2 linked regions of the Rattus norvegicus genome follow. The protein of the gene in region 2 interacts with the protein of the main gene of each other region in a pairwise test. Links are inferred from orthologs where the notes say so. Each region holds a gene or a part of one and is shown on either strand. Other genes may lie near its edges.

Evidence for each region.
Region 1: the proteins of Gramd1c (region 2) and Cd151 interact in binary tests that used the Homo sapiens proteins (3 or more experiments, as listed by UniProt). The link is inferred for Rattus norvegicus from reciprocal best matches to the Homo sapiens genes GRAMD1C and CD151.

Annotation. Positions count from the first base shown.
Region 1 is NC_086019.1:205,992,268-205,998,310, reverse strand, and holds Cd151 (CD151 antigen), read right to left. Parts: upstream 4,012-6,043; 5' UTR 3,966-4,011; intron 3,637-3,965; exon of another isoform or gene 3,368-3,636; intron 2,998-3,367; 5' UTR 2,868-2,997; intron 2,180-2,867; 5' UTR 2,173-2,179; coding exon 2,089-2,172; intron 1,970-2,088; coding exon 1,778-1,969; intron 1,489-1,777; coding exon 1,414-1,488; intron 1,311-1,413; coding exon 1,206-1,310; intron 1,119-1,205; coding exon 960-1,118; intron 848-959; coding exon 701-847; 3' UTR 4-700; downstream 1-3. Other genes in the region: Cracr2b (EF-hand calcium-binding domain-containing protein 4A), read right to left, coding at 5,011-5,188, 5,400-5,471, 5,550-5,716, 5,873-5,965. UniProt on the Homo sapiens protein: Structural component of specialized membrane microdomains known as tetraspanin-enriched microdomains (TERMs), which act as platforms for receptor clustering and signaling.
Region 2 is NC_086029.1:70,219,695-70,225,605, forward strand, and holds the end of Gramd1c (protein Aster-C), read left to right. Parts: intron 1-1,520; coding exon 1,521-1,631; intron 1,632-1,875; coding exon 1,876-1,981; intron 1,982-3,004; coding exon 3,005-3,085; 3' UTR 3,086-4,784; downstream 4,785-5,911. UniProt on the Homo sapiens protein: Cholesterol transporter that mediates non-vesicular transport of cholesterol from the plasma membrane (PM) to the endoplasmic reticulum (ER).

The DNA.
Region 1 (6,043 bases), on a different chromosome or scaffold from region 2:
CTCGACTGCTTATACATTTATTGAGCACCTGTCACACAGCAGGAGCATCTGTGGGCATCTGGGATACAGCAGTGAATGAAAACAGCCATGCTCCATTCAGAGATGTTCCCAAAAGAGACAGTGTACAGGAACGTTGAACATTTACATAGTGTTATCAGTAGTAGGAAAAGCCCAGGGCTGAGGCCGTTAGGAGCAAGAGGCCTGTGTGGAAAGGACAGCATACAGTGTGGGATTCCAGTTCCCCTAAGCTTGCCCTATCTGAGGGTTCCTGGCAGCAGGCATGAAAGGTGCCTAGCCCAACCAGAAAGGCCCCTTCCCACCTGCTCTTACCCACCGTGTAGTGGTATGCTCGGATTCTCCCCAGACTTACTGCAGATCACAGCTACCCAAAGGGAAGCAGTCTACATAAGAGGCACTTCTGTCAAGTAATCTAAACCCTACTCTACTAGCCAGGCCTAGCCCAACACTGGCATACATGCCCCCTCTTGTTAATGCTGGGGCAAGTACGCTGCCTCAAGCTTTGGGACTTTGGTGTGCAGGGAAAGGCACTTGAAGCTACCACGGAGGTGGAGCCACCAGGGGACATGGTAATGGCATGAGGGCAGCTACCTCTCTGGCAGTCAGCAGTCTAACTCAGTAGTGTTCAGTAGTGGGGGGCTGGGACACAGCGCGAGGCTGGCCTTCTGGCCTGGCACCATGGTCAGTAGTGCTCCAGCTTGAGGCTTCTGTACAAGCAGCAGGTGAAGATCATGCCGAAGACCTGCACACAGGCGATGCCAATGCCCACGGCCCCGATGACCCGCAGGTGCTCCTGAATGAAGGACTCCAGCTTAGTGATGCAGCCACCCTAGCGGGAGATAATGGTGGTGAACGTTACCGGTTTCCCACATACAGCCCTACTGGACCAGGCTGCCTGAAGACCAGCCCAGCCCAGCCCCACCCAGGCTGAGCACACTTACTTCCACTTTATAGATGTTGGAGGCGTGCTCCCGCTTACCACAGCCAGTTACCACAGTCTTACAGCAGCTGTCAGGGACCACACGGCTGTCTGCCTCACCAGAGCGGATCCACTCGCTGTCTCTCCAGTCTCGAGAGTTGTTGCTGCCACAGCAGTGGAACTACAAGGGGTATGTGGCTGAGACTCACAGCCCGCCAGCACACAACGCCATGCCTAGAAGGCTGGGAGTTACAGGGGGGGCACCCACCTCTTGCTGCAGCTTGTCTACAGCGTTGGTCACACCCTCATGGCCTGACTGGTGGTATCTCTTGATCATGGTGTCCTTCAGATTCTCCTTGAGCTCGGTGTTGAGCTGTGGGTAGGATTAAACTCGTAAGGGCAAAGCTGGTCAAGACCTCCAGTGGGACTGACAGCCTCGTTCCGGACATTACCCTGTGGCCTGTTCAGGCCCTTACCTGCTGATAGTAGACATAGGCCAGGATGCCAGCAATGATCTCCAGAAGGAAGATGATGAGGAGCAGGATGAAGTACTAGGGAACAGGGACCCAGTAAGTGGGGGGTTCCTAGTGCCAAAGCACCACAAAGCCAAGCCCCCAACCCAAGAGGCCAAGCAAGAGGAATGTGGATAGGAATTACACTCTGGGCTGCCTAGCTCCTTGATACTTCTCTGGAAGCTGGTGTCTGCCCCAGTGAGTTCAACAGGGACAGCCTACAGGAATACACTCAACAAGTCAGGCCCCCAGAACCAGTACCAGAGACCCCTGAGAAATCCATGTCAGGCATCCCTAGCCCCACCAGGTGCCACCAGGCCCTGCTGACCAAGCGTAACAGGTTCCGTCGCTCCTTGAAAGTGGCACAGCAGCCCAGGACTCCAGTCACCATGACAACAACACCAGCCACCACTAAGATGTAGGCTGTTGCTAGGTAGGTGCTTGAAGCCAGCAGACTAATGTAGTCACTCTTGAGGGCCAGTGTCCAAATGCCCACTGCCATGACGGCCAGGCCAGCCAGCTGCGGAAAGTATATAGTGGTCACCACATGAGGCCTGGGTCTGGAAGCTGGGACTGAGCTCCTAGGCCAGGCCTCCAACATGGGGAATAGGGATGCAGGGAGAATGTAGCTCTTCTCACCCAGAAGCAGCAGTTGTAGGTGAACAGCAGATACTTGAGGCAGACTGTGCCACATGTTGCCTTCTTCTCGTTGAATTCCCCCATCCTGGGCCTGGAGAAATGGGGAGGAGGTCAGATGGCCTGAAGCACCAGGCCTCCAACTAAGAAGAAAGCTATACACCGATGAAGACAGAGAGGATGCAGCAGTCCCCAGATGCTTGCAGAGTTTGGAGTCCGGCCAGCTATCTGCCTTAAGAGGAGCCTTCCCAGGAACCATATGTGAGTCACTTCCTGGACTAACCCCTCACGGCCAGACACACATGTTGGGTTATCATGGAGGACCCCCAAAACATCTGCTGACTCACTCCTGCTGGCAACTAGGGGAAGCTCCAGCAGGCCTTCAGGGTACATTCCTGTGGATAGACACCCTCAAGCATTTCCTGAGCCCCACGATCAGGCTGATAGGTACTTACAACTCATACCCATCCCCAGAGATGGCAGAGAAGCAGCGAGTTCAGGCCACCCTCAGGTACACTGTGAGGACTCTGAGCCTCTTTACCGCCAGCCGACTTTACCACCAGCCAGGGCAGAGACAATAAAATGCCGGTAGGTGGAGCCTGTGCAATCTGCTCCCCAGTTCCACAGATGTGCATGTGCCGTCCTCCAGGGGTCCCCTAGACACACTAGCATCTGAGGACAGTGTACAAACCTCAGCTGAGCCAGGCCAGGCTCCCAGACAGGCACCTAAACAGAACTTTTAGCCGGCTACCTTAAGGATCTGCCCAAGCCCCAGCACTCACCTCTGGAAGTCAGGACCAGCAGGTACAGGTCAAAGTCACTGATCTGCCCGCCCTTCACCTGGCAGGTGGGATCTTGCCACTCCTATGGTGTCTGAAGCAGTAATCAGAATGATTCTCAGAGCCACCAGATCTGCAAGGAAGCATAACAGCCAAGCCTACTGTTCTCTACTGGACGGCAGTAGGCCAGAGAACATTGCTGGCCTGCCTGATCTAGGGAGGAACAAATGCCTTCTCCAGGTGCCCCGCCCTCCAGGCTCATCCATCACATTCCCTCCCCACCAAACAGCAGCGACTGCAAACTGAAGGAGGATGCATCAACCGTCCACTTCTGGAAGTGGGAGAGATTTCAGACCTCCAATCGGAGATGGGACCCAAAAATACATGCTGCCTCACTGGATGCGGGCAATGACATAAACAGAAGCTTGGCTAGCCACAATGCAAACCCCGGGGCTAGGCTCTAAAAGCCCAGAACCTATGGGGAGCTGGTTCTCTCGACATACCCAGCAACCTAAGCCAAGGCACAATCAGCAGACTGAATGTAAATTCCCTGAGAAAGTGTCCGCGTGGGAGCCGGGACCAGCCAGAAATAGCTCCTGCGGCCAGGACACTACCTCCCTACACTCAGCTCCAGTACCTCCCCTGAGCCCTCCATGGCACCGGGCACCCGCCCCACCGACGGGATGAAATACTGAAGTCGGCTGGGCGAGGAATCCCCGCGTCACAGAGATGAAGTCACCACCGTCCCTGCCGCCCGCCTCCGCCCCGTGCCAGTGGGCGGACCTGCGGTCTCAGGGGAGGGAACCGGTGTCCAGGGACAATGAATAGGGTGATCAGACTTTAACTTTCCGGGTTTCTCCACGAAAGAGACCGCCAGGCCTGCCCAAGAACCACAGAGGCTCTCTTCCTTACCCCTCCCCCTTCCCGCCGCGCTTCTAGCTGCCCTGCCCCGGCGTCGATCTTCCGGAAAGGAGCCTGCAGCCCTGTCCTACGGGCTCTGCCTCCTGGGTGGCCCCGAGGCCAGCCACGGAGACTAGGAACACCAGTAAGCAAGGAACTCAGGACACTGCTCCCCATACCCTTCGGCTTCGGAGCACTCACCAACCACGCTTTGAAATACCAGCCCCGGCAGCCACTGTAGGAGCGCTCATTCGGAGTACAGAGAATGCTCGGCCCGGGGCCTGCGAGGACACGCCCCGCGCGCGACCCCGCCCCAGGCGCAGCCCCGCCCACGGCCGGCTGGGGCAGGCAAGTCCTAACTGGTTTGGTGCTAAGGCGCAAGGGAGAGACCTGGAGATCTGCCCTGTGGGTCTGTAAAGTTAGCTTGAGGGCACCCGTTCTTATCAAAACCTCGGACTCATCCAGAAATAGAGGAGCTAGGCTGGAGAAAGAACCCAGGTGGGGAGCGAAGAGGTGGGGAAGGTGGCACTAGAGGCCCAGAACTGAGGTCAAGACCAATTTCTTCTCCAGTCTAAGCCGGGAGAACAACTCTGAAGCTGCAGGTTCTAGCGGTTGAGGAAATGCCAGAGGGGGAGCTCCAGATCGAGTGTGGAGGGTTCTGAAAGGTCCCACAGAGACATAAGGGCCCTGCGAGAGGAACCCAGTGTGGATTGCATATGGTCTGTCTAGGAACTGTGCCAGAAGGATGATGGTCTGGACCAGAGCGCTAGTTGACCTCACGGAAGTGAGGGGCGGGACCTTCCATTTGAGGACCAGCACCCGGGAGTTTACACCTGTTGAAACCTGAGTCCTTGGATCTTCAGCTGTGAGGGATGGTGAGGGCTTGGTGAACCACAGAACATACACAAGCACAAGGGGACCCACAGGGGCAGGAACGACTGGGTAATGTGCACCTGTAAATCTCTCCGTGTTACCCAGTGCACGAACCACAAATGCACTGTAGCTCCCAAACACACAAAAACCAAGGAATGCACAGTATACAGTGGCCTTTATTGGTCCTTTAGACAAAGATTAAGGAAGACAGGATAAAGACTGAAGACCTGACCACTCTGAGGGTTAGTTCCTTCAGGCATGGGATGCTTTCTGGGTAGAGCTACATACTTAGCAAGCAACCGCCACCCAAGACCAATCCCCTCCTAAGAATAGTCCTCTGGATAAGGAAGTGAGTCATTTGGTGGCTGGCTGGTCATCGGGCACTAGGAAGATGGCCAGAGCCTCGTCTGGGGGGCCGAGCCCAGCCACAACAACAGCAGCAGTAGATAGGTCCCGGCTTGTGGGCGATAGCTAGAGCCTTCCTGTGGCTACTGCCCAGCAGCTTAGTCTCACAGGCATCTCTCTCATCTCGAAGCCTCAGATTCAGCTCCCTAGAAAAGAGAGGTAAGAGACCGAGGAGACTAAGATCTAGAGGGAAAAGTGTGTGGGGGAGATGCTTTCCCTGAGTCCAGAGGACTAGAGAGCCTGCAGCCTGAAGGCTACAGGGCAGACGTAAGGACTTCCAGCAACATGGGTAGGAGTCAATAATATTTGGAAACTTGAAACCACTTCTCCACATTAGCTTAGGCAGGCCTGACCCACCTCAGCAGCTCCAGCTGCCTTAGGAGGCTGAGTTTCTCTTTTTGCATGTTCCTGGAGACAGCAACCACATCTCTGTGGAGAGAAGGTAGTCAATCAGATGCAAGGTGGTGGAAGAGATCCACGACCCTCACCACAGGCACTTCACCACACCTTTGGGTTTGCTCCTGACGACCCTGTGCTTCGCCCTCCAGTCGGATGAGCTGCTCTTGCGCCTGGTCCAGCTGTGCCCGTAAGGCCTCATAGGCCCTCTGCAACTGGATGTGCTGGGCTTGTACCTCTAGCTGTTCTGCAGCCCGGGCTTGCAGCTGCTGTTCCAACTGAGGAATGGTGGAATGCAGGCTGGCAAACCACACCCCTCCGGTGCTAAGCTGACCCCTCACCCTTGCGGCTCCTGGTTGAGAACCCCAAGGCACAAGACACACAAAGAAGTTGAGCCTGTGCGAGGACGCCAAAGTGAACTCAATTCGGCTTACCTCTCGCTGCCTCAGGGCTGCGCGCTCCAACTCCTGCTCTCGGGTCTGCAGCTCCAGCTCCAGGTGGCCCCTCTCTTCCTCCCGGGGTGGGTTCTGGGATGTACAGCCGCACTAGAGCCTTCGCTCCGGGCTCAGAGCAGGCAGGCAAGGGTAGGGAGCGAAGGGGTGGAG
Region 2 (5,911 bases):
AGGTTATTCTGATATAGCAACCAGACTGTCAAAAATATTAGGCAATTAGTCTGATGCTTGTAGTATTTATGGGAACCTACCTAGCAAGTTACACCTAAGAGCTCTAATTCTACTGGGCGATAATTTTTGGAATGAAGCTCTTACCTGTTTTTCTTTACTACAGATTTCAGAACAAGCAGAAAGTACTTTTATCCTTTTTAGTGTTTGCTGTCGTTCTTGTTGTTGTTGTTTCCTTGACATGGGGCTTGCTATGAAGTCTTAGCCTTGAACTATCTCATGATCCTCCTGCCTCAGCCCCCCTTATGCTGGGACAACCTGTGTAAACCCTGGCCCTCAGATCTCTCTCTGGGTTTCAGAAAAGGTTTTCAGATTCTAATAAAATCAGGTTGCTCTGACATTTTGAATGACAAATATTATTATATTACATCGTAGGAATTTATATATACGTATGCATGTACACGTTCATCCCTTCAGTGCTGTGATAATTTTATAGATTTGATTTCCTCATTACCTTTAGTTTTCTTACATACCCTCTATACACTTTTTTCACTTTCTGTGCTGTCTGGAACCAAACCCCTGGCCCGGGTGCATACTAAGTAACCATTCTACGGCTGAGCTATGCCCCCAAACACAATCAGTTTAGCTTGAGGCAGGTAAATCTTTTAACAGAACTAAATAAAGGCACATGATACTACTTATCAGTCTGTGCACATGTGTAATGAGGTCTGTATTCATTTGAAAGGCTGATATTAAAAAGAAAACATTAACTTTGAATGTAAAAATTTTATATTTACCGTTATGTAATATATGCTTGGGATTTATCTGGTACTTTCTCTGTTCAAAGAGAGTATCTGTCTGTCTGTCTGTCTGTATGTATGTATGTATGTATCTATCTATCTATATATCTATCTATGCACATTTTTTTGCTTCCACTGGGAATGAAAGGTAACATTGCGATGTTCCTAAAATCAGCTACGTATTGATCTTCCTTTCATTTTTAAAATGCAGTATTATGGGTATGTAATTGCTTAAGCCAGTGTAACCCAAAAATAGACCCTGAAAGCCTACCTGGTAGATTTCTAAGCCAGTGGTTGCACAGGACTGGCTGGGATTGAGCAAAGAAGAAAGGAAAAAGGGGTCAGAGGCCATCTGTGAGTTGTGGCCTTTCAAGGAGTTTTCTTATCACACACTAGGCATTTCCCATCATTCTCTTTGGCAGCTATATAATACTTGAAAGCAGTTATTTCATATAATGAAACAGGGATAATTTATTGAAATATAGAAAATGGTGTAGATCATATACAGTTGAAAGCTTTTGCATATGTATGTTATTTTACTCTGTTTCTTAGTCGTGGAAGGGGGTCTTGGGGTGGGGTCTGCCTCTGTAGTCCAGGCTGCCCTGCGGTCTCCAATCACAATAGATTCTCTTGACTCTACCATGAGGGTGCTGGGCTTCCTCTGCTGCTGCCTCTGCAGTGCAGGTCAGTGTGGGTTAACCAGCTGTCCTTTACTTGGCACAGTTTGCTGCTGCTAGTTCTGCTGAATGTGACACTGTTTCTGAAGTTGTCAAAGATAGAACACGCCACCCAGTCCTTCTACCAGCTTCACCTCCAAGGAGAGAAATCTTTAAAGTAAGTTCCCCGCCTCAGCCCTGCCTGTTTCTCTGTTGTAGAAAATTTAACTTTAGAGACTTTGGTCTGCTGTATCTTGTCATGCACGCTTAGTTCTCCCCCTCCCCGCCGCCTGGGGTGGTGGCGGCGGCGGTGGCGGCAGCAGTGGGTATGATTTTGTGTTTCATTTGCAATAAATGGAGCACAATAATTTCTGTAAATGAAAGATCAGCAGCTGTTTTATGATTTAATTTTTTTCTTCTAGTTTAGTCTCTGACAGGCTCTCAAGAACGGAAAATATTCAAAAGAACAAAGATCAGGCCCACCGTTTAAAAGGAGTACTCCAGGATTCCATAGTGATGTTGGAACAGGTAGGCCAGGTTGTTCCTCAGGGGTGTGAATGGGCGGGTTGTCAGCTTGGGACGTCTGTAGACACACTTCTATAGCTGCTTACTAACTCTGCTCCCACTTCAGCATTCTCTTTTGGTTCAGGTGTTTCTCTCACTCCGTGCTTGTCCATGTCTTATAGAGAGGAGAAACCTCCTTTCTTCCTTCTATAACCATCTTGACAAATTGTCCTATCCTAGACCCCCTCTGCTCTTTGGACTAGTGCTAGGAATGTTTGACACAGCTTTGTGAAGTCTGTGCAGTAGACTTTGTGAAGAATCACAGTACCCAACCCAATGCAGGTTTGCTGAATGAGCGAATGAACGAATACAGTAAGGAATACGGAATATTTCTTGGTCTCCAGTTGCTTTGATTTTGTGAGAGAAGTCAGTTACCCTACAGGCTTTCATGTCTGTTTTTAAAAGTGCAGAGTTAAGTAGTATAGAAGTATGAAGTGGGTAGTGCTCTAGGAGCTCCGAGGCAGGGTGGTTAGGGAAGATCGTATGGGGTCAGCAGGTACAGGTAAGTTTTAGAACTGTGAAGAGGACCTTGGATTAGGAAGACATGACTCAGCCATGGGGCACGAGGTGTTCAGGGAAGAGTGGAAAAGACCACTGAGCCTTGAGGAATGTCTAAGAAAACAAGCCTTTCTCTCTGGATAGTCAGATGGACTTCCTGGAATGTACACTGAGTGAAAAACTATGGCCCTCTAGTACCTGGTAAGAACTCTCTAGAATTCATATAGCAGATACTGGAGAATCAGGTATTTGATGATCTGTTTTATTTGACCGTCTCTATCTATCTATCTATCTATCTATCTATCTATCTATCTATCTATCTATTGATGTAGATGCTCAAATCAAATACACACATATATATGTATATATACACACACATATATATGTATATATACATACACAGACATACATATACACATACACATAGATCTTTTGGAGTAAAATAACTGGCAAAAATCGAAGTCTGATTTTTGATCATTCTGTTTGCAGCTGAAGAGCTCACTCATTATGCTTCAGAAAACCTTTGATTTACTAAACAAGAACAAGTCTGGGGTGGTTGTGGAGAGCTAGTGCTGAAATGTGGAGATCAAAGAGACATCTGGACCTAGAAGACAACATCTGGAAGGAAACAGAGGATGAAGACTGTCGCGGTCAAAAGGACATTTCTGATCTTTTTATTACCGGGATTTCTACTAGAAAAGCCTTATTTAAATAACATTTACTCAGTGATTCTCACCAGTAGCCTTAAGACTCTATCTTTTCACTTCTTATAGCTATTTTCAAGCTGTGAATTTCTCTAGTGAACCATGAAATATATTTTGGAATTGAAATTCTGTGACACAAAAGGGGGGAAGGAAGACACCCTGGCTACAGTGGCTTCTCTTCTCCAGTGAGGCTTGTCACTTGATCCTTTAAATTTACGTTAGCACAGAGTCCCTGTGCCCAGTGGGGTGTGTTCATAGCTGAGTCTAAGAGCCTAAAAAGGTAAGAAGGAACCCTTTAATCACTTGTCACCTTAAAGGATCATTTTCCAAGTGCAGACATTGCAGGTTTGTATCTTTAAACTTTACAATGTCTTCATTGACTTGGCTTCAAGGCCAGTGGTCAGACCTTTTGTATGTCTGAAAGAGTCATTGACCATGTTGTATCTTAATGAAGGAATATATGTGTATGTATACACACATACATATATATATATATATATACATGTACATAAATGTGTGTATATGTATATATGTATGTAGGTACATATTTATATCTACCAAAGGTGAGATTACCCTTCATACATCCAAAAGACTGAATAGTAATTTAGGAGAAGGAAGTATTCGAGTTATTAATGCTCAGAATGAACTACTTTTAGTTTTAGAAGCCATAAGATTATTATAAAGTCTGGGCATTTCATGATGGATCAAATGAGACCATGAATTATGCTTGGATTCACCTTAGGAGGGCCCATAATGGAAGTGACCCATGCCATGGAAAAGAATTGATGGCTTTTCAGTAGCAGCTACATACAGCTTCATTCTTTATTCTTCATTCTGTGTGTAGCTTGTCTTGCTGGCAATCAGAAGATAGACAGACAGATACTCGCACTCGCCAGTAAAGACTGGGGGACGTGCGTGCTGACTGAAGTTGAGAGGCACAAGCTTGGGCTCTCAGGACAGCTGCTTAGGCATTTGTGAAAAGAAGGACTCTGTGACCAGACTTGAAATTAGCTCCGTCCCCCAGGATTTAGGGAATGTTCAGGACATATTTATTTATTGTTTTGTTCTCTAGAGGTCTTTCTAGAACACGCACATATATTTATTCTTATTGAATATCCATTGTCTTTAAGTCAATGTTGCCTTTCCCTCAGGTCACCAAAGCCAAATGTCATTGTTAACAACGCTTTTGCGAAGCCTGTAGGGAATAAAAATACTGGCTAAAGGGAAGGGTTTCTCTTCACAAGTCCTATCTACTCTCCCTGGGGAAGGGGGCTTCAGAGTAATACCTCCTGTTCCGTTTTGTCTTGTTTTGTTTTGTTTGTTTAGGAACATAGGAAGTATCTGGCTGTATGTTAGAGTGAGTGGATTAGAAACTTCAAATTGTTACATTTAGAAAAATGTTAACTGTCAGAGTGAATGTTTTTGTTGTTTCTCTCAGACTACTTTATCACATACCTCAAAGGTTACCAACGTTGCTTTGTAGATAAAACACTAAATATGTATGTAGAATTAAGATCTTAATCTGTTATATATAGATTGACTTCAATAAAACCCAAAATGTCTAAGTTGCTGTTCTTCTGTTTCTGCTTAAAAACCAAACCAAACCAAACCTAGAAAGCCTGGGGTAGGGAAAACCTGTACGTAGGCCCACAGTTCTCACAGATTTGTGCAGCGACGAAACCCTAGAGAGGACTCTCTTGGGCAATTTCATTGCAAATGCGCAGACTACTGAATCAAAAGTACCACAGAGGCCTGGCTGGAAGGCAGCCCCAGCCACCAGGACTCGCGAGCATGCACAAGTTGGATAAGCCGGGCTTGGGAGCTACAGCGGGCCTCTGGGGAAGGTGGGTGACTCGTGGGGTGGCACCCCTTAACGCGGCGACGGTGCGGATCGAACCCAACGCCTGTTGCCGGCGCCGGAGGCCGGCGAACTCAGGCGGCGCGCGAACGCCCGGGTCTGATCCGGCGCCACAGCAGCACCCCGGCAGCACCCCGAGGGCCCGGCGCAGGTGCCCGGTGGCCCGGCCAGAGCGCGACGGGGGAGGGGCCTCGTGGGCAGGCGGCGCACGTGCGGGCGGCGGGATCCCGGCGCCGGGGGCGGGGCACCCGGAAGCGCGCGCCGACCTGCGGAGCGGAGACCCGGGGCGACTGGCTCGCTCGGCAGGCGCGCGCACCGCCGGTGCTCACAGGTGGGCGACTCCGCCCGGCGCGCCCGAGCCCTCCGTGCAAGGTCGGAGGCGCAACCGCGCCGAGGGGAGCCGGTCCTCCTCCCGGTCCCCGCCTCTGTCGGAGGGCAGGTAACTTCCCCGCCAAGGTCATTCTCCAGGCCCGCCCACGCCCTCGGAGCGGCGGGTTCCGAGTGGGCTGGACGGCGACCTCGGGGCTGCTGGGGCTCCTGGTATCCCCGGGCCGGTGGGTGGTTGCAGCGCCCGGGGCGTCGCTGCCGGCACCTGCGAGGGTGAGTTTCCACGACGCGCAGCTTTGGGGTGGGGACCGCCCGGCCCTTCCAAGCTCGCACCCGCAGGTGAACTGGGCCGCTCTAGCTCTGCTGTCCCGGGCCGCGTGGTCGGCTGTCGCCATGGGAACGGCTGGTACCCAGATGTGGCAAGCCTAGCTGGGAAGGGGAGGAGAAGATGGTCGGAACCCCAGAAGTCAAGGAGCCCCCTTTCAGGCCACGAGGAGCCCGAAAAGC